3 linked regions of the Lonchura striata genome follow. The protein of the gene in region 3 purifies or fractionates together with the protein of the main gene of each other region. This does not show direct contact. Links are inferred from orthologs where the notes say so. Each region holds a gene or a part of one and is shown on either strand. Other genes may lie near its edges. The genes, in order: CD36, SKAP1 and FYN.

The links.
Region 1: the proteins of FYN (region 3) and CD36 purify together in Homo sapiens (affinity purification with western blotting; 3 studies listed by BioGRID). This does not show direct contact. The link is inferred for Lonchura striata from reciprocal best matches to the Homo sapiens genes FYN and CD36.
Region 2: the proteins of FYN (region 3) and SKAP1 purify together in Homo sapiens (affinity purification with western blotting; 3 studies listed by BioGRID and IntAct, with this or other methods). This does not show direct contact. The link is inferred for Lonchura striata from reciprocal best matches to the Homo sapiens genes FYN and SKAP1.

Annotation. Positions count from the first base shown.
Region 1 is NC_134607.1:62,608,696-62,616,513, reverse strand, and holds the start of CD36 (platelet glycoprotein 4), read right to left. Parts: upstream 3,284-7,818; 5' UTR 3,198-3,283; intron 1-3,197.
Region 2 is NC_134627.1:8,231,885-8,240,271, reverse strand, and holds the start of SKAP1 (src kinase-associated phosphoprotein 1), read right to left. Parts: upstream 3,556-8,387; coding exon 3,513-3,555; intron 411-3,512; coding exon 305-410; intron 1-304. UniProt on the Homo sapiens protein: Positively regulates T-cell receptor signaling by enhancing the MAP kinase pathway. Required for optimal conjugation between T-cells and antigen-presenting cells by promoting the clustering of integrin ITGAL on the surface of T-cells.
Region 3 is NC_134605.1:68,271,162-68,279,363, reverse strand, and holds the start of FYN (tyrosine-protein kinase Fyn), read right to left. Parts: upstream 3,258-8,202; 5' UTR 2,899-3,257; intron 1-2,898. UniProt on the Homo sapiens protein: Non-receptor tyrosine-protein kinase that plays a role in many biological processes including regulation of cell growth and survival, cell adhesion, integrin-mediated signaling, cytoskeletal remodeling, cell motility, immune response and axon guidance.

The sequences.
Region 1 (7,818 bases), on a different chromosome or scaffold from region 3:
GGGAAGTTTAACTACTGAAAGTTAAGCATTGCTCCACACTGTGCTCACCATGAACTACTTTTATTGTCAGTAATTGTTTCTATTGTACATGTCGTCCTTGGATGGTTTCCTGAGGATGTTCTTTTTTGGGATCACTACTGCCCTGTGGAGAGGTTCCCTACCATGCTCATTTTCTCTGTTTGCAGTGTGTGGAAGTCAGTGATATTTTCCTTCATGAGGAAAATATCTACTGGGATTTTTTGTTGGAATATGCTACTGTTGACGTAATGATGTTCAGTTTTCAACATATGCATGCTCAGCTGTACCACCCAATGTTATGATTTACAATATCCTACTGTCATCCTGCATAAGCAAAATCTCTTCCAGCAGCAGTGCTTGGCAGTGAAATGAGGAATGAAATGAGGACTGCCTGGTTCTACTGCAGAAACCAGCTAAAAGGATGGAAATCTGGAAGGGAAGATGTAAACTTTTGGATGTCAGTCATTCCTGTTTCTTAAAAACAAACTGAAATAAACCATAAGTATTTAATGGTCCTATGTCCTTTGACTTCATATTAGAGTTCAGAGGTTGCAGAGGAGAAAGTAGAGACACACAGCAACAGAAGGAGGACACAGAAACCAAACAGCTGTGTAGTTCATGATAGTCCCTAGTGGTGCAACCACAAACAAACTGCTCCACAAGGAAAAGTCAAAAAGAAGAAACAGAGTACATGACACTCACATGCCTCATGAAGACACAGAAAACTGCAGAATGCAAAAATGGGAAGTGATATTTTTATTTCCAAATGAAGTCCACATACATTTTCTGGAGGAAACATACTACTTACAAGAAAATGCTGAAGAGATGAGGGTTATTTATAGTTTTTGTATATATCTCATAGTAGGCCCTTTGGAAAACAGTTTCTTTGGGGTGCTATCCTACATGCCTTCAGACTCCTAAATAGGTTGTCTCCCCCTTTCTCTTTCTTTTTCTTTTCCATTTTTTTTTTTTTAATATTAAGATCTATTCTATCAGACATACATTTATGGTATACATACAATTTGAATTTTCAAGATGATTACATAAACATTCCCACATTCCTGTAGGAATTCTTTGTTGCACAGTGTAGCACATCATGAGTTTATATTCCTGTGTTTCCCAGTTATTACACTTAGAATTTTTCTTCCACTGCCTATTATGAATCTTATAAAAACTAGTGTTAACATTAATTCTTTTTCAGATGTGGAAATGTTAGCATATGTTAGGTGACATTAGAAAGCAAATTAGAAAGCTCCAAGAAAATCCTGTCTCTACTTTTGCACCCTCTGAACTTTTTAAAGACATTAACTGTTAAAAAACATCCAACAAAACCTACTCTGTTATTGTTAGGTAAAATGCCAATCCCTGGGGCAAAAGATTAGGCTAATATTTTCAGTATCTAAAACACGATTTTCTATAAGCTTTTGGGTACTCTCCCTGGTTTTGAGACAAATTATATTAACCTGCTTTCCATGGTAAATTAATGCACAAATGTATTGCTTATCCAGGTTATACTATTAGCATCATTTTATGATGCTAATAGTGGTTTCTATTATTTCTACTGAAAATCCTGTTGTCACCACTCAGTAACCCTCTGGCTTCTTCACAGGAAGTGGGAAAGTCCCACAGGAAGGGTTGTATCTTGCTCAGTAGTGAAAGATTAAATAATTAAACCTGCCCCCCTCAAAAGGAGACAAACTTTTCACGTGCACAAAAAAAAAAAGAAATAACCTATGGCTTCTGTCCCCAAATAAGTTATTTCTGATTCACACAGTCGTGTTCACCCATGTGCCCTTAGTTCTACTGAGAAGGAGAATGATGCAAATGAAACATTGGGAGGAGAAAAAAGAAAAGTGTGCAATATGCCACGAGCTGGGTGAGACTTTTGTCTTATTGTGTGTACTGGAGATACTAAGAGGTATTTCTTTATAGGGATACTTTAATCGATATTTTGTATCCATTAAAGTTAATTTGATTTCCTAAAGAAATTAAAACCTTCTGTATATCACATCATCACATAGTACATGAGAAAATTCAACAATTCACTGCACTTCTACTTCAAAAGAGCCATTCTAGAGTGGACGTGTATCTTCAGGTATTGCAAGTAAAGAACATGAATAAAAAACACACAAAATAATAAAATAATAATACAGAACTAATATCATTCCTGAATTCCACATTCACTATTTCTGTCTCATCTGTTCTCACAGTGACTGTTCTTTTGTGTGACCTGATTTTCCAAAAGCCATAGGATAGAACAGAGTTTTATAAGTCAGGTCACTTTACATAAATAAAGGAAGAACAAAGATATCTTAGTTGTTTCAGTATTCCTTTTACTATCTTATCTATACAGCTCTAAAATAAAAGAAGGGCATAGTTTCATGTTGTTTTCTTTTCTTGTTTAAGTTAGTTCCAAATACTTGTTACCGATAAACTTACCCAGCTAAAAGTAGGCATCTGGAGAAAAATTTATTTTCTTTCCTCTCACTAGAGATGAATGTACTTGAAATATTTTCTTAGACAAGACTATATAGAATCATACAATCATACAATCATTAGGCCTGGAAAATACTGCCAACCTTTGACCATGTACCACCATGTTCACTAAACCATAAGTGCTACAGCTATTTATTTTTGAACAGTTCCAGGGAGTGCATATCTTTTAGAGGTACTGCAGTTAAAGGCTCCCCTTTAACTGCAAAGCATCTAAACAATGGACTTAAGTTAGGCATCTAATGATTCGAATGTTAAAGTTAGAGCAATTCCACTCAAAGTCCCCAGACAGGTCTTTCATTTCCTCTCCTCATCAGTGCACCATACTGATGGTACCAGAATAGCTCTACAAGGTTCTGCTAAATGCATACAAGTTATGAAACAAAGAAAATTCAAGAAGAAAACTCCAAAATATTTACCAGTTGGCATTAATGGAAAGTTTGGACAAAGACTGCAGACATGTTATTACGGTTTTTTGCTCAGCTCACATCACAGATTTTACCACTGCTGTGTTGGCCTTCAAGGATTGCCAATGCATGCCCTGAGTCATACTCCAACCACTCATATCAGCCATTCTTCAACCTCCTGAAAAAAGTATCCTCCACAACATGCATTAATATCTTATTTTCTTCACAAGAGCTTGGAAGACTCTTATCAAACTGTTGTGTAGCTCCTTCATTACCCACCAGAGACTCCCAGACGTATCTTTCCCAGCTCTGTTAAGTGTTAGGATCTAAGGTCCTGTCCCTTGTGGTTCCCAATGTGTCCTGACGATATGGAAAAACATCCTAAAATACCAGTGGCTCAAGCCAGCTTGGCAGCAGTACACTGGAAACAGTGTGATATATTTGGCTCCTGCCACTGATGAGTTCCTCTGTCAAACTGTAATGAAACTCTTTAAGGGGAAAATGGGTGATAGAAAACCCAGAAATTGCTTAAGTTGTTTTTTCCCCTAGATATATTGCTTCTGGGCTCTTCACTGTTTTTGGCATGCATAAGCTACTGCCTTTCTCAGTCCTCAAAATCACTTTTAAAATTTGTTTTCAAGTGATTCTAGCAGGGGGATTAGGTGAAGAAATCCCAAGAGCAGCAGGGATAGACCAGACTGATTCTTCCAGTCCTGTGGGTTTATGTCAGACTAACTCAGCAGATAGATAGGAGGGAACTTATTAAAACAGAATCAAATACAGAAACTGTAATATTATAATAAAAGTTTCTTGTGAGTATCAAACCGTGAATGTCTATGAAAATCTCTTACTGAAAGGGTTGTGTTGGTCTATTAATGTTTTTGAAACATAAGTGTTGCCCCAAAAATTATAATTCATCACCCAGTGTGCAGTGAGCCAATCACACACAGAGCCAAGGGATTTCAAATTTCATATTTGCACAAAGATGGGTATTGTGTGGTGAATTCACAAAGTTATCAGCCCAAGTAAAAAGGATAAGGATTCTTTATATGCTGTTAATTTTTATATGTTCTGCTTATCTAATATATTCAGTGTTTAGTATTTGACTATTTCTCAGTTGTGCTGAGATGACTTCTTATCTTGGATGGCCTGGTGCTCATCAGTGTTACAATCCTATTATTGTTAGGCTGGCTTTCTTAATTTCTTCTTATCTTTGGTGTCCTGCAATAGCAGATTCTTCTTCGCAATCTTTGTTACTTCCCTGTGTCTATGACATTTGCAACAAGTCAGGCCCTGAAATGTAATATGGTAATGCTACTGAGAAAAAAATTTGTCTTAGACAACACAAGGAGGGCACAGAGAGGAGGCTCCAATGGCAAGAGACAAAAATTTTAAAGCAAACATCTTCTGAAAGCCAGGAGAAATTTAACAAATCTTGTCCCTAGTTGGATATATTCCACTTCTTGCAAAACTCTTCTCCTTAGATCAGAAGTCATTTAATAATGGAGTAATTCTAAAATCTTTCACTAGTGCAATACCTGGTTGAGAAATAGTCACCATAATGAATCATCCCAGACAATGTCACTGGTTTTGAATGGGTAGTCCTTATGTTAATTTTTGCCTACCAGCTACACTGTAATTTTGTCTCTGTAATAATTAGGAACAACATATGTACAGGGGATTTTTCCAGTTGTAAAGACCTAAGTTTAAGGTCAACTTCTTGGTGATTTCTCAAGTACTGAAGACCTGTCAAATGACTGACACCCTTACCTTTCAGTTTACATGTTCCAGACCTGGAGCATGTCCTTGGTCTGAACAACTTACAGAAGCTCTTCCCTGGGCCTTCAGTCCAGCCTCAAACACCAAAGCCAAGCCATCAGCTTACTGCTAGGAAAAGCCCTGCTCCTCATCAGGCACAAGAAGAAAGTTTGACTGAAGCTACCCTGGGGCAGCTGCCAATTCCACTTAGGGAATCAGAAGTGATGGCTGGAATAGAGAAAAATTTATTGTGATACAAAAAAGGACTTTTTTTCCTTTTCTCCATATTTTTCTTGAGAAGATATTTAATTACCACAATAAAAGATTCAAACATAATTCACACACAGACACAAAACAAAAACCCCAACACTGAAAAATAAAATTACCCTTGCCACAGGAGATCCCTTGGCAGCAGCTGAAAATCTACAGAGATTATGAAAAATTGTGTAATATCACAGTTTACTGAGAAATATTAACACTATGAAGAACAGAGCAGTAGAAAAAGTACTAGAAGTGATTTCTGTGCACTAGCAGTAAATTAATGAAGGAATTAATAGATATCCTGAACTTCTCAGATCATGTAATTTTTAGTCTTAAATATGGCATTATTCTTTCAGATGAAGACATGTTACAGAAATATGCATATAACTATCAGTTACAGAAAAAAAATGTAGTTGCAAAATACAGCAATTTAACCCAAACCCCTTACATTTCTGATCATTTTCCTGGTTGTGCCAATTATATACATGTTTTTGAAGTCTCACTTGAGCACAGAAAAAAACCCAACCTAAGCAACTACAGACTGCACGTTTTTTTATGAGTAGGATATTTTTGCCAAATTAAAAAATTCACTGAGTAATTATAGCCATTTTGTCAGTTGTCAAGAAAATAAATAATTAAAATAGCATATGATTATGCTATATTTATTGGGTTGATCTCAGGACTTCCATATATAAATGAAATTATATTACATCAGCATATTTATTATACATTATATATTATTTTATATTTGTACATATGCACATAAATTAAAGTCTTAAAACTACACTGAAATGCATATATATGCTTTTTCCTCTAATTAATAATGATACAATTTCCATAATGAATAATTATTACAGTATTTTTCATTTATTGCTTTATATCACAGTTATTAAATGTATACAGCCACAAACTTGATATCTCATCTCATATTTTTATAATGTATGCATTTAGTTGTTTATATAATATACTTTCATATACAAGATAATGATTAACAGGCAAATTATTAATACATTTTTTGCTGTTAGTTTCATTACATTTATTTCTAATTGCAATGTACAGTGAAATATTAGCAATATATGCAACATTATCAAGATAGCAAGTTAAATAATTTGATTACCAGTATACTTATTCTTTATAAATTTTAGTGAATGGACTTTTGTTGGATTTATAGACAGTCAAGAAATAGAGTCAATAACATCTCTCTTTGCTTTCAATAACTAGCAGTTAGGAGCACTTTGTAAGTTATAGGATGCAACAATACACTTACAAGAAGTTTTTACAACTTCCAGCTGTGTGCTCAGTCTGCCTCTAGCTCAGGAGCAGAATCACGTACCTGTATGGAGGGAGAGCTGCTCTCACAACTCTTGCCACAAGGAACTGCAGAGGTGCAGAAGAGCCTGCAAATTTACCTCCTAATTTACAGTAAATTAGAGCTGCTGTATCAGCCCCAAGCAGCCCTGCTGCCCCGTGCCCCACCACCCCGCTGAACTTGTATCAGCCACAACAGAAAGTTGCACAGGCCTTTTAAACTCCCTTGTAGGTAAGCTGTCTCAAGTTATAAGGACTTGTGAAACCTCTGAGCCCGAGATAATACCTTCTCAACACTTTTGCTTTACAAGACCAATACTAAGAAATCCTTTCAAGACCAGCCTTTGCCTCTGGTCCCTTCAGACTCTGCAATAGCCCAGAACTTGGAGGCAATGGACTGGGTCCTGTTGCCAACCCAGAGCAAGTTCCATTGACTCTTTGCAGTAACTCTTTGCAAACACAGACTAATCCCATTTAATCCCCACAAAGTCCTGGAAGCCAGATAATACATGTCGTATTGAGGTAATTCTTCAGATTTGGGCTTACTATGTTTATTTACACCAAGCAGAGAGACAGGTCAGGATGAGGGATCCCAGCTGTGAGTACAGCTGTTAAAATTCATGGGGCTCTATAATATTTCCACAGGCTTTCCTTCAGAATTTGGTTGTCTAAATAAACATCTAGGACAAGTGGCAGGGCTATTGCCTCCTCTGCCTGTCTTTTTGGATCTTTGCTAAATCCTTTTATCATAGCAGGGCTGATACTTTTCTAAAATTATTAAATTATTATTAATTAAGCATGGTATTATTATTTTTTTATTTGAACAGCCTATTGACGACCTCCTTCCAGAAAGTTACAGCAAAAAGCAAGTTATCAGCCTGTCTGCCAAGTGCTTTCATATTTAAGATAACAGCTGCCCCAGAGGATTATCAGGGACCTGGAGGTGAGTCATTACGACAGGTGCTATAAAACTCCATATGTAGTAACTCAAGGGGCACAGCATGACATAAACCTCTTAGCCGATGAAATTTCTGCTTCTCTAAAGTTAGACAAAAAAATAAGTGACGAGGAAAATTTAAGAATTAAAAAAAATATTCCTGAAATTTGCATTCAACTGGATATTTTCTGACCTGTCCTCATATGCTGTAAATGTTGTTCTACCTTTGGTCTTCTTGGAGTCCTGTTGATTGCTTCCTGTGTGCCTTTCACAGCTGCAGCCTCCAGCTTGTTGCCAGACTTCTGCCTTCCTTTCTACATGTGCTTCCTTTTTACCCCTGTTTTCTTCTCCAAGAATCTCCTCCCACCTCCAGCTCTATGTAGGTCTCTCACCTTCCACCCTGTCATCTCAGCAGTCACTCCACCACCAAGCATCTCCCCTAGTTTGTCTCCTCCCTCCTTGGATTAGCCCCTAGGTTTTTTTCCTGCTCTTCCAGAATTGACTGCTTTCCATAAATACTGTCCTTGTCCTTTTTCTTTCTTCTATTTATCTTCTTATCCCTTTGTATGAAGTTCTGGCATATAAACTTCTCACACCATCAGTTAATCAAAAGGCTGGTTGCAAATGAAAACTATA
Region 2 (8,387 bases), on a different chromosome or scaffold from region 3:
ATAAATCAGGAATATCTCAGAATTCCTTCCTTTAAAAATAGGGGAAAACCCATCCTGAAATTAGGGAATAAATAGGGAATATCACAAAATTCCATCCTAAATTCCACCTAAAAAAGAGGGGAAAATCCCCATCCTAAACCAGAGAAAATCCAACCAAACCCAACGACAACTCCCCAGGATTCTCCGTTATCCCGAGCCTGGAATATCCATCAAATTCCAAACATGGGGGAGCTGCAGCAGAAGGAGGAATCCCAGACCCTGCTGGAATTCCAGGATCTGGAGCGGGAATTCCGGGGGATCCCACCTGGCTCGGAGGCGCTGGAAGGAGCCCAGGACGGCGTCGCGCTGCTCCCGCGCCCGCGCGCTCAGCGCCTCCTCCCGCAGAGCCCGGCCCAGGAAAGCCTCAGCCTCTGGAAAAGCGGGAATGGGAATGGCAACAGCGGGATAGGCGGCCTTGGAGGGGGAAATGGGGGTGGGAAGGGGAAGGAAATCCGGGAATGGGAATGGGAACAGCGGGATAGGCGGCCTTGGACGGGGAAATGGGATTGGGAAGGGGAAGGAAATCCGGGAATGGGAAAAATGGGATAGGCGGCCTTGGAGAGGGGAAATGGGATTGGGAAGGGGAAGGAAATCCGGGAATGGGAATGGGAACAGCGGGATAGGCGGCCTTGGAGGGGGAAATGGGGGTGGGAAGGGGAAGGAAATGTGGGAATGGGGATGGGAACAGCGGGATAGGCGGCCTTGGAGAGGGGAAATGGGGGTGGGAAGGGGAAGGAAATCCGGGAATGGGAATGGGAACAGCGGGATACGCGGCCTTGGAGAGGGGAAATGGGGGTGGGAAGGGGAAGGAAATCCGGGAATGGGAATGGGAACAGTGGGATACGCGGCCTTGGAGGGGGAAATGGGGGTGGGAAGGGGAAGGAAATCCGGGAATGGGAATGGGAAAAGTGGGATAGGCGGCCTTGGAGGGGGAAATGGGATTGGGAAGGGGAAGGAAATCCGGGAATGGGAAAAATGGGATAGGCGGCCTTGGAGGGGGAAATGGGGGTGGGAAGGGGAAGGAAATGTGGGAATGGGAAAAATGGGATAGGCGGCCTTGGAGGGGGAAATGGGGGTGGGAAGGGGAAGGAAATCCGGGAATGGGAATGGGGAAATTGGGGATACGCGGCCTTGGAGAGGGAAAATGGATGTGGAAGGGGAAGGAAATGTGGGAACGGCTGGGAAAATCGTGGAGAGGGAAAGTGGGTTTGGGAAGGGGAACAAAACTGGGAAAGGGATTTAGAAAATTTGGGAAGGGCAGGAAATCCAGGAATGGCAGGAAAATCAGGGATACATGGCCTTGGAGACAGAAAGTGGGTTTGGGAAAGGATTTAGGAAAACTGGGAATGCGATTTAGGAAACCGGGAAGGGGTTTAGGAAACTTGGGAACAGTCAGGAAACCTGGATCTGGGAAAGGGTTTAGGAAATCTGGGAAGGGAGAAGAAAGCTGGGAAAGGGTTTAGGAAATCTGGACCTGGGAAAGAAAGCTGGGCCTGGGAAGGGGCAGGAAATCTGGGAATGGGAAAGGGTTCAGGAAATCTGGGAATGTCTGAGGTCAGGGAGGCCCCACAATCCCAAAATTCTCCTCAAGGTCACCCCCAAATTCTCCTGGGGGTCAGGGCCAGGGAGGCCCCACAGCCCCCAAATTTTTGGGGTCACAGAGGCCCTACAACCCCCAAATTTTTGGGATCAGGGAGGCCCCACAACCCCCAAATTTTGGGGTCACAGAGGCCCTACAACCCCCAAATTTTTGGTGTCACAGAGCCCCCACAACCCCCAAATTTTTGGGTCAGGGAGGCCCCACAATCCCCAAATTTTTGGGGTCACAGAGGCCCCACAACCCCCAAATTTTTGGGGTCACAGAGGCCCCACAGCCCCCAAATTTTTGGGTCAGGGAGGCCCCACAACCCCCAAGCTTTTGGGGTCACAGAGGCCCCACAGCCCCCAAATTTTTGGGGTCACAGAGGCCCCACAGCCCCCAAATTTTTGGGTCAGGGAGGCCCCACAACCCCCAAATTTTTGGGATCAGGGAGGCCCCACAATCCCCAAATTTTTGGGGTCACAGAGGCCCTACAACCCCCAAATTTTTGGGTCAGGGAGGCCCCACAGCCCCCAAATTTTTGGGTCAGGGAGGCCCCACAACCCCCAAATTTTTGGGATCAGGGAGGCCCCACAATCCCCAAATTTTTGGGGTCACAGAGGCCCTACAACCCCCAAATTTTTGGGTCAGGGAGGCCCCACAACCCCCAAATTTTGGGGTCACAGAGGCCCTACAACCCCCAAATTTTTGGGGTTACAGAGCCCCCACAACCCCCAAATTTTTGGGATCAGGGAGGCCCCACAATCCCCAAATTTTTGGGTCAGGGAGGCCCCACAACCCCCAAGCTTTTGGGGTCACAGAGGCCCTACAACCCCCAAATTTTGGGGTCACAGAGGCCCCACAACCCCCAAATTTTGGGGTCACAGAGGCCCTACAATCCCCAAATTTTTGGGTCAGGGAGGCCCCACAACCCCCAAATTTTTGGGTCAGGGAGGCCCCACAACCCCCAAATTTTTGGGATCAGGGAGGCCCCACAACCCCCAAATTTTTGGGTCAGGGAGGCCCCACAACCCCCAAATTTTTGGGGTCACAGAGGCCCTACAACCCCCAAATTTTGGGGTCACAGAGGCCCTACAATCCCCAAATTTTTGGGTCAGGGAGGCCCCACAACCTCCAAATTTTGGGGTCAGGGAGGCCCCACAACCCCCAAATTTTTGGGTCAGGGAGGCCCTACAACCCCCAAATTTTGGGGTCACAGAGGCCCTACAACCCCCAAATTTTTGGGTCAGGGAGGCCCCACAACCCCCAAATTTTTGGGGTCACAGAGGCCCTACAACCCCCAAATTTTTGGGTCAGGGAGGCCCCACAACCCCCAAATTTTTGGGTCAGGGAGGCTCCACAACCCCCAAATTTTTGGGGTCACAGAGGCCCTACAACCCCTAAATTTTTGGGTCAGGGAGGCCCCACAACCCCCAAATTTTTGGGGTCACAGAGGCCCTACAACCCCCAAATTTTGGGATCAGGGAGGCCCCACAATCCCCAAACTTTTGGGTCAGGGAGGCCCCACAACCCCCAAATTTTGGGGTCACAGAGGCCCCACAACCCCCATATTTTGGGGTCACAGAGGCCCTACAACCCCCAAATTTTTGGGGTCACAGAGGCCCCACAATCCCCAAATTTTTGGGATCAGGGAGGCCCTACAACCCCCAAATTTTTGGGTCAGGGAGGCCCCACAACCCCCAAATTTTTGGGATCAGGGAGGCCCCACAACCCCCAAATTTTTGGGATCAGGGAGGCCCCACAGCCCCCAAATTTTGGGGTCAGGGCCGGGGAGGTCCCAGGACCCCTGAAGAGCCCAAAGGTGCCCAGAAAAGCCACCCCAACCCCGGCCAGCCCCAGCGCGCTGCCCACGGGGCGAGGAGGGATCCGTCACCTTCCAGGAGCCGCCGGATCTCCTCTGGGATCGGGGCGTCCATGGCATCCATGGGATCCTCCACGGGATCCACGGGATCCTCGGGATCCTCGGGATCGCGTCCCACCGGGGCCGCGCCGGCTCTGGGGTGACGGGGAGGAAGCCGCGAGGGCGGGGACACCCCAAAAACGAGGAGGAACCTTTGGGGTTTGGCTTCCTCCTCCTCGCCTTCAACCCCAGCGGATCCCCGGGATCCTTCCCAGCTGTCCTGGGCCATCCCAAAAATTCCGGTGGGGAAAGCTGAACTCCAGCCAAGGAGCTCCGCCTGGAATTCCCGGCTGGAATTTCCTCCCGGAGCTTCCTCGCGCTGTTCCTGCCCGAAAAATTGGGATTTTTCCAGGTTTGCCACCCCAAAAATTCCAGAGAGGAAAAGCTGAATTGGAATTCCCGGCTGGAATTTCCTCCCAGAGCTCATCTGGAGTTTCCCTGGGGCTGTTCCTGCCCCCAAAACTGGGATTTTTTCCAGGTTTGCCACCCCAAAAATTCCAATGGTGGAAAAAAGGGGATGATCTGGGATGAGATTTCCCCTTTTCCCATTTTCTGCGTGGAAAAGAGGTTGGGTTGGGAAAAAAAATCACCTGGGATAGGGAAAAGATGGAAAAACTCCTGGAAATGTGGGAGATTTCTGAAAGGAAATACTCCTGAAAACATTGAGATTTCCTCCATAAGGAAATGTGGGAAATATCCCTGGAAATTTGGAGATTTCTATGTGGAAATATGGAAAATATCCACGGAAATATGGAGATGCTCCTCCATAGGGAAATGTGGGAAATATCCCTGGAAATTCAGAAATTTCCATGTGGAAATACGGGAAAGATACTTCTAAATTTGGAAATTTCCACATGGAAATACTCCTGGAAATCCAGAGCTGCTCCTCCAGGTGCTCCCGGGTGTTTTGGGCCCTGCTTTTCCAAGAAATAAAGGAAAAAATTCAATTTCTTTTTCATTTCTCAGCACAAAGCAGACAAGGAGCAGGTGCCGGGGGGATCCCGAGTTTTTGGGGTCGGGATTTGGGGTCGTGGAGCCGAAGGAGAAACCCCAAAGCAGCTCCAGAGTCCTTTTGGGGATATTTTGGGGCCATTTTGGGTTGGGATTTGCACCTCAGCAATCCCGTTTTTCAAGGAGGGTGATTTTACGGAGAAGGGCCCACAAAAGGCAAATTTCCATGAAAATTCCCTGCTGGATTTTTTTGGATTTTGGGATTTTGGGGTTTTTTTTTCCTTTGGGGACAGAGGGAGCACCGGGGGATTCTCCAGATCTGGGACCCAAAACCTCGGAGCTGTCGCTGCCACGTCATTCCCAAACTTTCCCACCCGGCATTTCCCAACGGATTTTTTTAACCCTTTCTGTGCCGGGTGGGAAAATCAGGGTTTGCCCCTCCCCCCTGCAGCCCGGCCCAGCTTTAGCACCGAAACGGCCCCAAAAATGGAGATTTGGCAGCGGATGCTGAGGCCTCGAACACAGGAAACGCAGCCCGGGGGCCCCGAGCAGAGGTGGAAAATCCGAATATCACAGGAGCCGCTCCGCTGGCCTTTGGGGGGCCTCGAGCCTTTTTTGGGGCAAAATTTGGGTTTTTCCTTGTCAAAAGCTGCTCCTCAAATGTCCTGGCTGGGTATGGTTGGGATTTAGGAAATTCTGAGCCTTTTTTGGGGCAAAATTTGGGTTTTTCCTTGTCAAAAGCTGCTCCTCAAATGTCCTGGCTGGGTATGGTTGGGATTTAGGAAATTCTGAGCCTTTTTTGGGGCAAAATTTGGGTTTTTCCTTGTCAAAAGCTGCTCCTCAAATGTCCTGGCTGGGTATGGTTGGGATTTAGGAAATTCTGAGCCTTTTTTGGGGCAAAATTTGGGTTTTTCCTTGTCAAAAGCTGCTCCTCAAATGTCCTGGCTGGGTATGGTTGGGATTTAGGAAATTCTGAGCCTTTTTTGGGGCAAAATTTGGGTTTTTCCTTGTCAAAAGCTGCTCCTCAAATGTCCTGTCCAGGTGGGGCTCAAATTTAGGGAATTCTGAGCCTTTTCTCTGGAAAAATTTTGGATTTTTTCCCTGTCAAAAGCTGCTCCTCAAATCTCCCTGACAGGTATGGTTGGGATTTAGGGATTTAGGAGCCTTTTTTGGGAGATAATTTTGGATTTTTTCCCTGTCAAAAGCTGCTCCTCAAATCTCCCTGACAGGTATGGTTGGGATTTAAGGATTTCCAAACCTTTTTTGGGAGATAATTTTGGATTTTTTTCCCTGTCAAAAGCTGCTCCTCAAATCTCCTGGCCAGGTAGGGTCTCCTGAGGTGGGATTTAGGGAATTAAAGGCAGGAAATAAAAATAACAGAAAATAAAAATATCTCAGGTAGGGTCTCAGGGAAAGGATTTTCCCAATTTCCAAGGAAATGACCTTTTTTTTTTTTTTTCCTTCCCTCTTTTTCCTCACCACTTCAATTTTTGGATTTTGGAACGGTCACAGATTTGGCTTTGGGGTCAGCTGGGAAGGAGAGGGGGGAGCCTGGCACCGTCCTGTGCCCGCAGCATCCCAAATTTGGGGATTCCGGATTCAAAACCTCCTCCCCACGGGAGAAAATTCCCACCTGGATCCTCGCAGGGCCCGGCTGAGCCCGGCTGGCATCCTTGGGAAATGCGATTTCCCGAAAAACGGAGGCGGGATTGGGAGTAACCATGGAAACGGAGCTGGGAAAACGGAGAGGCAGAGCCCCGGTCCTGTCAGGAATGTCGGGAATATCGGGAATATTTGGGGGGAAACGGGAGAGGCAGAGCCCTGGTCCTGTTGGGAATGTCAGGAATATCGGGAATATTTGGGAAAATTGGGGGGAAAACGGGAGAGGCAGAGCCCTGGTCCTGTTGGGAATGTCAGGAATATCGGGAATATTTGGGAAAATTGGGGGGAAAATGGGAGAGGAAGAGCCCTGTTCCCACTGGGAATATTGGGAATATCGGGGGGAAAACAAGAGAAGCAGAGCCCTTTTCCTATCAGGAATATTGGGGAAAATTGGGGGGGAAATGGGAGAGGCAGAGCCCTGTTCCCACTGGGAATATTGGAGGGAAAATGGGAGAAGCAGAGCCCTGTTTCCACTGGGAATATTGGGAATATCAGGAGGAAAATGGGAGAGGCAGAGCCTTGGTCCCACTGGGAATATTGGGAATATTGGGGGGGAAATGAGAGAAGGACAGCCCTGCTCAGAATTTGGGATTGAATCCAGTGGGGAATTCCTAAAGGACAGCCCTGCTCAGGGTTTGGGATGGAATCAAACCCTGATGCCTTTTAGGATTGTTTTTCCCAACAATTGCTCCCTGCAATGGGCTGGGCTGGAATTTCCAGGGAATCTGTCCCAGAATTGTCCCAGGAATTGCCTCGGGCCAGGCTGGAATTGTCCCTGGATGGGGCTGGGTGGAATTCCAGCTCCTTCCCACCCAAACCATTCCATGGCGCTGGAATTCCGCAGCTCCTGGCCCCGGGATTGGGAAAGGCCAGGCCAGCATTCCATGGAAATTCCAGGCTGGAAAAGGGCTGGGAAAGGCCAGGCCAACGTTCTATGGAAATTCCAGACTGGAAAAGGGCTGGGAAAGGCCAGGCCAGTGTTCCATGGAAAAGTTAGAAAAGCTAGAAAAGCTGGGAAAGCTAGAAAAGCTGGGAAATATGGAAAAGCTGGGAAATATGAAAAATATGGAAAAGCTGGGACAGCTGGGAAAGCTGGGAAATATGGGGAATACAGGGAATATGGAAAATATGGATAATAAAGCTGGGAAAACTGAGAAATATGGGGAATATGGAAAATATGGATAATAAAGCTGGAAAAGCTGGGAAATACAAGGAATACGGGGAATATGGAAAATATGGATAATAAAGCTGGAAAAGCTGGGAAATACAAGGAATACGGGGAATATGGAAAATATGAATAATAAAGCTGGGAAAGCTGGGAAATACGGGGAATATGGAAAATGTGGATAATAAAGCTGGAAAAGCTGGAAAAGCTGAGGAATACAGGGAATATTGATAATAAAGCTGGGAAAGCTGGGAAAACTGGGGAATATGGAAAACATGGATAATAAAGCTGGGAAAGTGGGGAAGGCAGGGAAAGCTGAGAAATATGGGGAATATAGAAATTGTGGATAATAAAGCTGGGAAAGCTGGGAAATACAGGGAATATGGAAAATATGGATAATAAAGCTGGGAATTCCCCAGGGAATCTCTCCTCCCCTTCCCTGTGGGAGCAGGGAGAGCAGGCCCAGGCTGAGGGAATTCGGGGCAGATTTGGGGTTCTGACTCCAAATTCCCAAATTTTGGCCTCATCCCGCCGGAAAAATCCCAATCCTGAGCCCAGGAGGGCGTTCCCAAATCTCCAAAAAAAAATAAACCTGGCTCAAAGAAAACCCCGATTTTGTGGGAGGTGAAATCTTTATTCCCACGGAATTTCTGCTCCGTGCCTCCTGACAGGAAAAAATTCCTGCCGGGAGGAGCTTCCCATGGGAATTTTTGGGGTTTGGGTGATCGCTGGGGTCGGAGTTTCCGGCGGGGAATATTCCGTGATGCCGGGAGGGTTTTGTTAAAAGCAAAGCCTGGTTCCACTTTCCGGGCCCGACTCCTCAAAACGCATGGAAAGGGCGTCAAAAATCGGAATTTTGGAGGGATAAGAGCGGGAAGCAGAAATCTGGGATTTGGGATGTTCAGGATTCCCTCAGAACCAGGCCTGGCCGGTGGAAAAGTGGGGAGAATTCCCTCTGAATTCCATAAAAATCCGAAATTCCTGGATTTTGAGCTGCATTCCCGGCCAGGGAAGATGAAAAGCCGTCCCTGGAGCCCAGCAGAATTCCATCGGAGCCGCAGCAGCTGCTC
Region 3 (8,202 bases):
AAGCAGAACTTTACAGAACAAGTTTGAATCAAATATTAATGTGCACCCCAGAGAGAAGGACGAAGGGAAAACACATGGCTCCAACACTTTTTCTCCCTGAAGTAAAAGCACAGTCATGCAGCAAGACAGAAAAGTGAAGGTGCTGTTAAATAAAAGTAATTGGGCATAAGATGGCAAATAGCTCTATACTTTGCTTAAGACAATTAATCATATGATATTGTAGATGTACCATATTACAGTGTGAAATCATCACAAATGTGCTGGACAGTTTTCGCTCACCTTAGCCACAATTTTATTCAACTGTAAATCAGTGCCAATGATACCATGTCCAGATTAGTATATTCAGCTGAGCCACAGGGCCAGTGGTCACAGACACCCTCACCATATCAGACTCCACTTATGATTTCAGATGACACCATTTAACTATTTCACATAACAGTATTGTGGAATCTATATCAGTCTGTCAAAAATAACTAGTTCCCCAGCAATTTTTTCTTACTCATATGAATTAGAAATTTATCACTGGGTCCTAACTTTTAAAGACACTTGTTAAAATGATTAATAATCAACTTTTTTATACCACCTTACTCATTTCTGGCTTACACTGACTGCCATGCCCATATGCCAAAGTCATTTGTCCCTCACTGAAGACACGTACTTACTCAATACCAAAATAATTTCCAGAGAAAGCTGTTCAGGGTTTTATACTTAACTGGTACTTTATGCCACTATGTCTTTCACCAGCAGGCAACATAGAATTTCTGAAACAACATGCCTGACGCATAGACCACAAAACACCACAGCCAGTGGCCTACCATCAGACAACTTCATACTGAAAGTTATTTATTTTGCCAAAGACAAGCCATGCAGAGGAGGCAGTAATTTGTTGGAGGTGGAGAGGAAGGATGCTTACAGGCAACCCTTTAAGTATCTGAACATTTCAACAAATCTGCAGTCTAGAATCAACAAAATACAAGTTTCTAAAGCATTAATTAGGCTATCTTTCTTTCTCTTTTTCATCAAAATTATAGCTTTTTGGGGTTAAAAGGGCTCAAGAAGGTAACCAGTATCTTTTTCACAAGAGATACCATTCTTAAAATGTTCTTATATTGTGAAATGACACTGACCTACTGACATCCATCAAGTGCTACCAGCTTTCTGAGCACACACATCAAGGTGCTGAAAACTCCTGAATCACTGGGGCAAAGGTAACAACCTTTCCACTTTAGTGATACTAAATAAATGTGCAACTGCAAAAATGAACTGTAGCCCCTCCAGTTTCCCACTGGGTCAAGCAGTGGCTAAAATGGATGTAACTGAGAAGTTGGAGATGTTGCCTTCCCTCCCTTCCCACTCTGGTATTTTTCTTCTGCACTCCTTTGTTCACTTAACAGAACTTTGTTTGAAGTGTGTTTTTACTCCTTCACTGCATGACCAACCCACACAATCAGAAGACAGGCTTACAAAAACCACAGATCTCCAGCAGGGAGCTCAACGGTGGGTGTAATATTGGACACAGCTCTCCATTCATCACGCACATTCTCTGCATTTCAAGTTGACAGTGTCCCTTTAGCTTACTGTTCCTCCTCATGGGAGACCAGACCAGTCAAACCTAATGAAAACACTTCCTCCACCAGCATATAAACAAACAGATCCTCACCTGAAACTGTTCTTAGCTTCCAGAACGCTAGTTAAAAAGACATCAAGACAAAAAGAAAAAGAAAAAAAAAAAAAAAAGAAAAAAAAAAAAAAAAAGGTGGGGTGGGATCCTAAAAAGTGTTACAGCTGCAAGGATGGTGGAAGGAAGGATGTGGGAGTTAAGGAGGTTGTATACAAGGAGGAAAATGACAAGGTCTCAAAGGCGTTCCCAGTCTTGCATGCATTTCAAAAGCCCGGTCCGCCCTGGTCACTGGTTATTTAGCATTTTAAGAATCAGAGCATATCAGAGTGATGGATGAGCAACTGCAGAGGGTTGCTTTCCACTCAGCCCAAACCTTCTCCACCAGCACCTACTCAGCCCTGCCCTCCCCGTCACTGCTGAACGGACCAAGGTATCATGGGCTCGCTCCCACAAAGTGACCCCCTTCCTTGGCCAGCCCTCTCCCAGAGCTCACGCACACGCAGAATCCACACAGAGCAGAAATCAGGCGCGATCCCGAGGAACAGAGGCCAAACTGAACAATATTAAGGAGGTCGGGCGACACGTACACTGTGGCTCTGCAGACGCAGCAAAACGCTGGCACCCATGGTGTGGCGTTTGGTATCTCTCCCTAATCTCAAATGTAGCTGAAAAGGAACTGGCACCAGATCAGCGGCCTCGTCTGGGAAGGAACAGAGAGGCTCTAGGGGAGACACAAGAAACAAGCCTCTTTTCACATCCTACCACCCTTGGGCATTTTGTGCGTCCCTTCTTTCTTCCCTGAAAGAGGCCTTTGTCATAGACGCGCAAATCCTATACGATTTATTTCAGAGGGAGAGAAGGTCTTTTTATTTATTTCCCCCCCGCCCCTTTTTCGCAGTTCGGCGACAACAAATACGTCCCTGTGCTGCGCCCCCTCCCCTCTCCCCGGCCGGTGTCCGCGGGGGCGGGGACCCCGACACGGGCGACCCGCGGGCACGCAGGGGCCGCGCTCGGGCGGTCGCGGGCGCCGCCCCCGGCCCTGCCCGCGCTGCGGCCGCGGCTCCCGGCGGGGGAGGCGGGCGCGGGGTCCGCGTGTGCGTGCGCGGGGGAGACCCGCAGCAGCGCGGCCGCCTCCCCTCGCCGGGAGCCCCCGCACCCCGTCAGCGCTCGGGCGCACAAAGGAAACAGACCCGCCGCAGCATCCATCCATCCATGCGGGCAGGCATCCCCCCGCCCCCGCTCCCGCTCCCCCGGGCGGGCTCCGGCCCCTCCGTTACCTGAGGCGGCTGGGCTCGGCTAGGCTCAGCGCAGCGCGGGGCCGGGGCGGCGCCGCCGCACTCGCATCCTCCTCGCTCCGCTCCTCCGCCGGCTGCCCCCGCCCGCCCGCAGCGAGGGGCGCCGCTCCGGGCGCCGCTGCCTCTCCCCGGGGCAGTCGCGCTGCGCCGAGCCGCGGCCGGGCGCGGAGGCGGCGACTCCGTGCGGCGGCACAGCCGCAGCCTGGGCAGGGATGAGCTCGCACGGGCTGTCCGCGCTGATGCTGCTGCTGCTGCTGCTGCTGCTGCTGCCGCCGCCTCCGCTCCGCCCGGGCGAGCGCGGCTCGGGCGCTCCCTCCCACCGGGGCTCCTGACAGATGGCGCAACCGCAGCGCCGCCGCCGCCCGGCCCCGCTCGCCCGCCCGGAGCCGGCTGCCCCCCCGCCCGCCTCGCCCCTCCGCGGGGGCGGCCCCTGACTGACAGCGTCGGCGGCCAATGGCGAGGCGCGGTCCGCAGCAGCCGCCGCTCTGATTGGCGGGCGGCGGGGGAGGCGGGGCGCGCGGCCGCGGGCGGGCAGCGCCCATGGACGCCCCCGGGCAGCGGCCGCCGCTCCGGGCGCCCGGCGCGGCCGTGACGGAGGCGGACGCGGGCTGGGAAAGGAAGGGGACCGGGGGCGAAGAGGAGGGAGCAGGAAGGAGATGAGGGGTTGTCGCTCTGTGTAGAGGTTCGCGACCGGCAGCTGCCAGCGCCGGAGCGGTTCGCGATGCTCCGCGCGCCGCTGGGGCGCCTCGGGAGGAGGAGGGAAGAGTGAGCCGAGCGTCTCAACATCCCCGATGAATGGGAGAACAATCCCAAACAGATTATGCGTCTTTGTGTAAAACGACGGCTTGTTTTACTATTACGGTTTTTTTCATCCGTAATTCTTGAAATTGGCAATAGTGGGTGATACGGCAACGGCGATAATGAAATATACGCGGAGGTTTTCCAGAGTTATGGTTTTATTCCATTTTCCACATTTAATCGCGGAGTATTCAGCGAGCTGTTGTGGGAGGAGCGTCACCCCACGAAGCTGTTCTTTCAGGGGTGTACCTGCTGTCCCCACAGCGCGGCTGGGGCTTCGGTCTTGCACTGTAGTCAAAGATGTGCGGGCAGCCCTGTCCTCCAGTCACGGGACACCCTGCTCCGCAGGCAGGTGATTGGAAAAGTTCTCTGTACACTTTGTTTCCCTTCAGGTTCTCAGCCGTAATTGCTCCCAGCGTTTCTCAAGGTGTTGCATCCACCTCCAACGCCCATTGAAAGCACCACATGCTCCAGCTTCAGGTCCTCTCCCCAGCACCGCCCCGCCCCGTCTGTGACCTTGAGTGCTCCCATACTGACAGATTGGCACATCTCACTGTCACTTGTCTCCTAGGCTTGGAAAGCTCTTCTGCCTTAGGACTGAAGAAATTGCAGTTTAGACTTCAACAAGAAAAGGAGAGACATACAAAATACAAGAGCAGAGGGAGAGAAAATTAAGTATGTTGAAATAGCAGAGAGAACTATAACACAAGTTTTCAATAAATGAGGTTTACATTTCTCTCCCACTTCTCTCTGAATTTCATTTTTGTATGCTGGTATTTAACCAGAGAACTATCTTATCTTGGCAATTTGATTTCCTGATGAAATTACAGTTTTACAAGTTCAAATAGAAACTTGTTTCTTATCAAGATGTCTACAGCTGGGTGCTCAGAGCAAGAAAGATTTTCCTTTCTCTTTCTGGGTGATTGTGTAGGTTATGTGTAGGTGACTCTTGATCATTACATTTCAGGATGAAGCAGAGTTTGTTCCACAAGTTCACATAAAGAATTTGGAGGAGACGGGGAATTATGAAATAAAATGTCACTTGTGTCACTTCTCATTTTAATGAGAAGTGTAGATCTCATTGTAGATGTACAAAGAAACAACTTTTTCAGGTTTCTAGGTAGGTCATTTTTAGTTTCCATCCTAATCCTTCTATGCAGATTTTAATTATTTCTTTTACCATGTAAATGGTATAATCAACACAAGAGTAGAAATGTATAGCTCAACTGAAAAAACAACTTTCCATTTTCTTCCTGTTGGATGAAAACTGCAGCTTGGTGGAGAAGTCTGATTATGCCTGTCCCAGAAACACCCATTGGGATCATGATGCTGCAGACTTTGAGGAGTTCAGGCTGCAGCCATTGGGCCAGCAGCAGGCAGCAGGTACCAGTCCATGCAGAGCAGAGCTTCATCAGAGCAGTTTGGAGGCAGGGCAGATTTATGGACTTCCAGCTTGGAGACCATCAGGACTGCAAATGGTGTCTTAATACTCCAGGCTCCTCAGCAGAAAGTCAGCATGTGGTTCTAGGGAAAGGGGCATTTTTGCATGCCTTGTTTGCCTTTTTTATAGGTTTACACATAATCTTACCTCCCACAAGTCAATAGAGGTTTCTTAGGGACCTTAAGCACCTTGGAAATTAATCAAACAACCAGGTATTCTTTCTGCAAAAGCTACAGGACAGAAATGCACTTCGTTTTATAATCAAAAAGGCATGAATAAAGAATCTTTGTCTGAATTTTGAATGCTCTTGCTCTGAATGAAAACTAGAATGACACAAAGAAGGAAAAAAAGATAGAGAAAAACCTACTTGATACTCTTTTTTGAGCCAAAGTAGAAAGTAACCAACTAATCAATGAAAGCAGACCAAAAGAACATCACACAGCAGCCACAGGGCTGCTGTAAACCTGGGCAGAAAAACTGGCTCAGCAGCATGTCATCAAAAGTCTGATTCTGAGCTTATATAGCTGAAGAGGAATAAGGTGTGGAGCCAGGAATCAAGTGCTGGTAGTTGCATAGGAAGCATAGGATGAAGCCTTGGGTTTGCCCTGTAGGGTACCTATACTTCCCTTGGGATCACAAAGCTGCTGCAGGCTCCTGCAGCCCCGGTGGCAGGGGTGAGACGTGCTGGAGTGTTCCCTCTGTGTGAGTCAAGCCCACATGTCCCCACAGCCTCACACAAGTCTTGTTCTTTAGTGCTCAGCACCATGGTTTGACTGTATCAATATTTGCCTTCAGGAATCACCCAGAAAACCTGGCAGTTAACCTCCCACTTAAACAGAAGGAATAATTAAATTTACCTATGTGACACAGGAACAGTTCTTTATACTCTTTTCTCTCAACTTTTCTAAATACTTTAAGTTCATGACACTGTGTTCTCCCACCTTCATCTGTGTAGCCTTCCTCCTCATGCCAAACTATTTTCTCCTTTCTCCAAACTCACTTTAAAACAGTTATTCATTAAAATATTGAAATAATATCCATTGAAATGCTGCTTCTCCATCAGTCATTTTCATGGAAATACTGTCAAAACCTTAAATGTGCAGCCGTCTGTACTGAACAATGTGACGTCAAGATTTTGTCCTCTCCTTCCTATTTCCTGCTCCTATCTCCCTGTAGAGATACATGGCTTCTCACAGCAATATGAAAATTACAGATTCTGGTTAGGATTTATTTGTATTAATAATTTAGCATCTGGAAATACAGGATAGCAGTCACAAAATTACACACAAGTGTCTTTTGGACTTGTCGGTGGGCAAGAAGTCAGTGACAGCCATCATGACTGTATTTGAATAAATAATATCCACAGTTTTCAATTAAAGGTAATATTTTGAGCAGCCAAACATATTCACAGCTGTAATAGCAAGGAGATGTAAAAGCAGCTCTTTTGTAGAACAGGGCAGAACATCAGTTCAGTTTCCTTGGTTGTGTCAAACCACTCTTGGTAAAACTAGGCTGACTCTCAGGAATAACCATCAGAATTATTTGGGATTCTTCTGAGCCATAATTTGTAAAAGTCAGATCCTAATGAACTTGTAATTTAAAAGATCCCCAAAGTATTAAATGTTATAGTGTCTTTATTTTTTCTTTTTTTTTTTTTTTAATTAATAAAAAATTTTAATATTGAGATTACCTTTCATAGGGATAAAGAAACATCATGCTTAAATTCTTCATTCAAACCAATACACCAGTCACAGACTGATAGGTCACTAATCTGCCTCACCGTTTTATCTTCTGTCTTACACTTCCTCCCTTTTTACATTGCTAACTTGGCAACACTTCCATTTGTTTTGGTTTTGACTGGGTGTATTTTACCAGCCTGTCATGTATAGCATATTATAAATAATTACAGAGTAGTGGGGTGGGGGGAAAGGGATCTGAACTTGCCTACAGTATTTTAGGAGGCTGACAGCATTTGCCTCAAACATCCCACTGTATTTTCAGGAGGTGCTTCAACTGGGGAGTGCTAAATGGGTCTTGCTGACTCACAGGTGATTACTGCCAGGGAATGCTGAGGTGATAGGTCTGCCTCCCTGGGGACAACATCTTTGAGGTGTGAACAGCAACCTGGAAGCAGAAGGGAAGGTTTGAACTGAGCTCTTCATCATGCTCATCAGCAATAGTCACACTAATACACAGAAGCTGAAGGAAGGATATTGGCAGAGCTAGGAAAAGAGCGTTTTGGCATTTGTGTATTGGGTAGATAATTTGTGGGAGCAAGTGTATAGAAGAAACGTCTTTACCTTATGTCTTTAAGGAATAAACAGAAGAGGCCTTCCTTATTGCTGTAGAGGCTCTAATCTCAAATATTTACATCCATACAAGCCTGCTTTTCTAACTGTTTTAGACTATCCCAGAAACAAAAATTGGAAGAGATGTTTCCTCAGACGCTACACAGGTGTTTTCCGAAACCAACAAATCAGGTGTTAAACTGTAAGAACAGCATATTTAAATGGCATCATCATGCATTTTCTAAAAGTTAAATTTCCATGTTTATAATTTCCAGATGTGTTTGCACTCTGTGGCTACACATTGACACAAGGGAAAAAACAGATGTGGGACAACCTTAGGAAATCCAGAAATAGCAGAAAAATATTAAAGCCATTTTTCATAACTTCCAGATTTATTAGAAGTCACATCCTATCCAACTCAGAAAAACATTTCTTATTCTTACTTTACATACTCAAATAAACATTTAAAATTCTCTGAAAATTTGTAGAAGGCTTTGACTTTCAGTAAAGATATTTTTTAAATGATGGTGAGGAATCTGTGGAATAAGGACAGTAAATTGTTGTATGTATAATCCAGCCAAGGAATATAGCAGTTCTCTTCTGGGATAGGATATTTTCAAAGATACAGGAGGCAGTGTGTATATTACATCACATAATTGTGCAGAGATGAAGAACAGATAATATACATAAAGGTGTGCCATTGTCCTCCTTCTGCTGTCAGCATTAGCCCTCTGCTGAGCATCAGAGGAATGCTGGGAA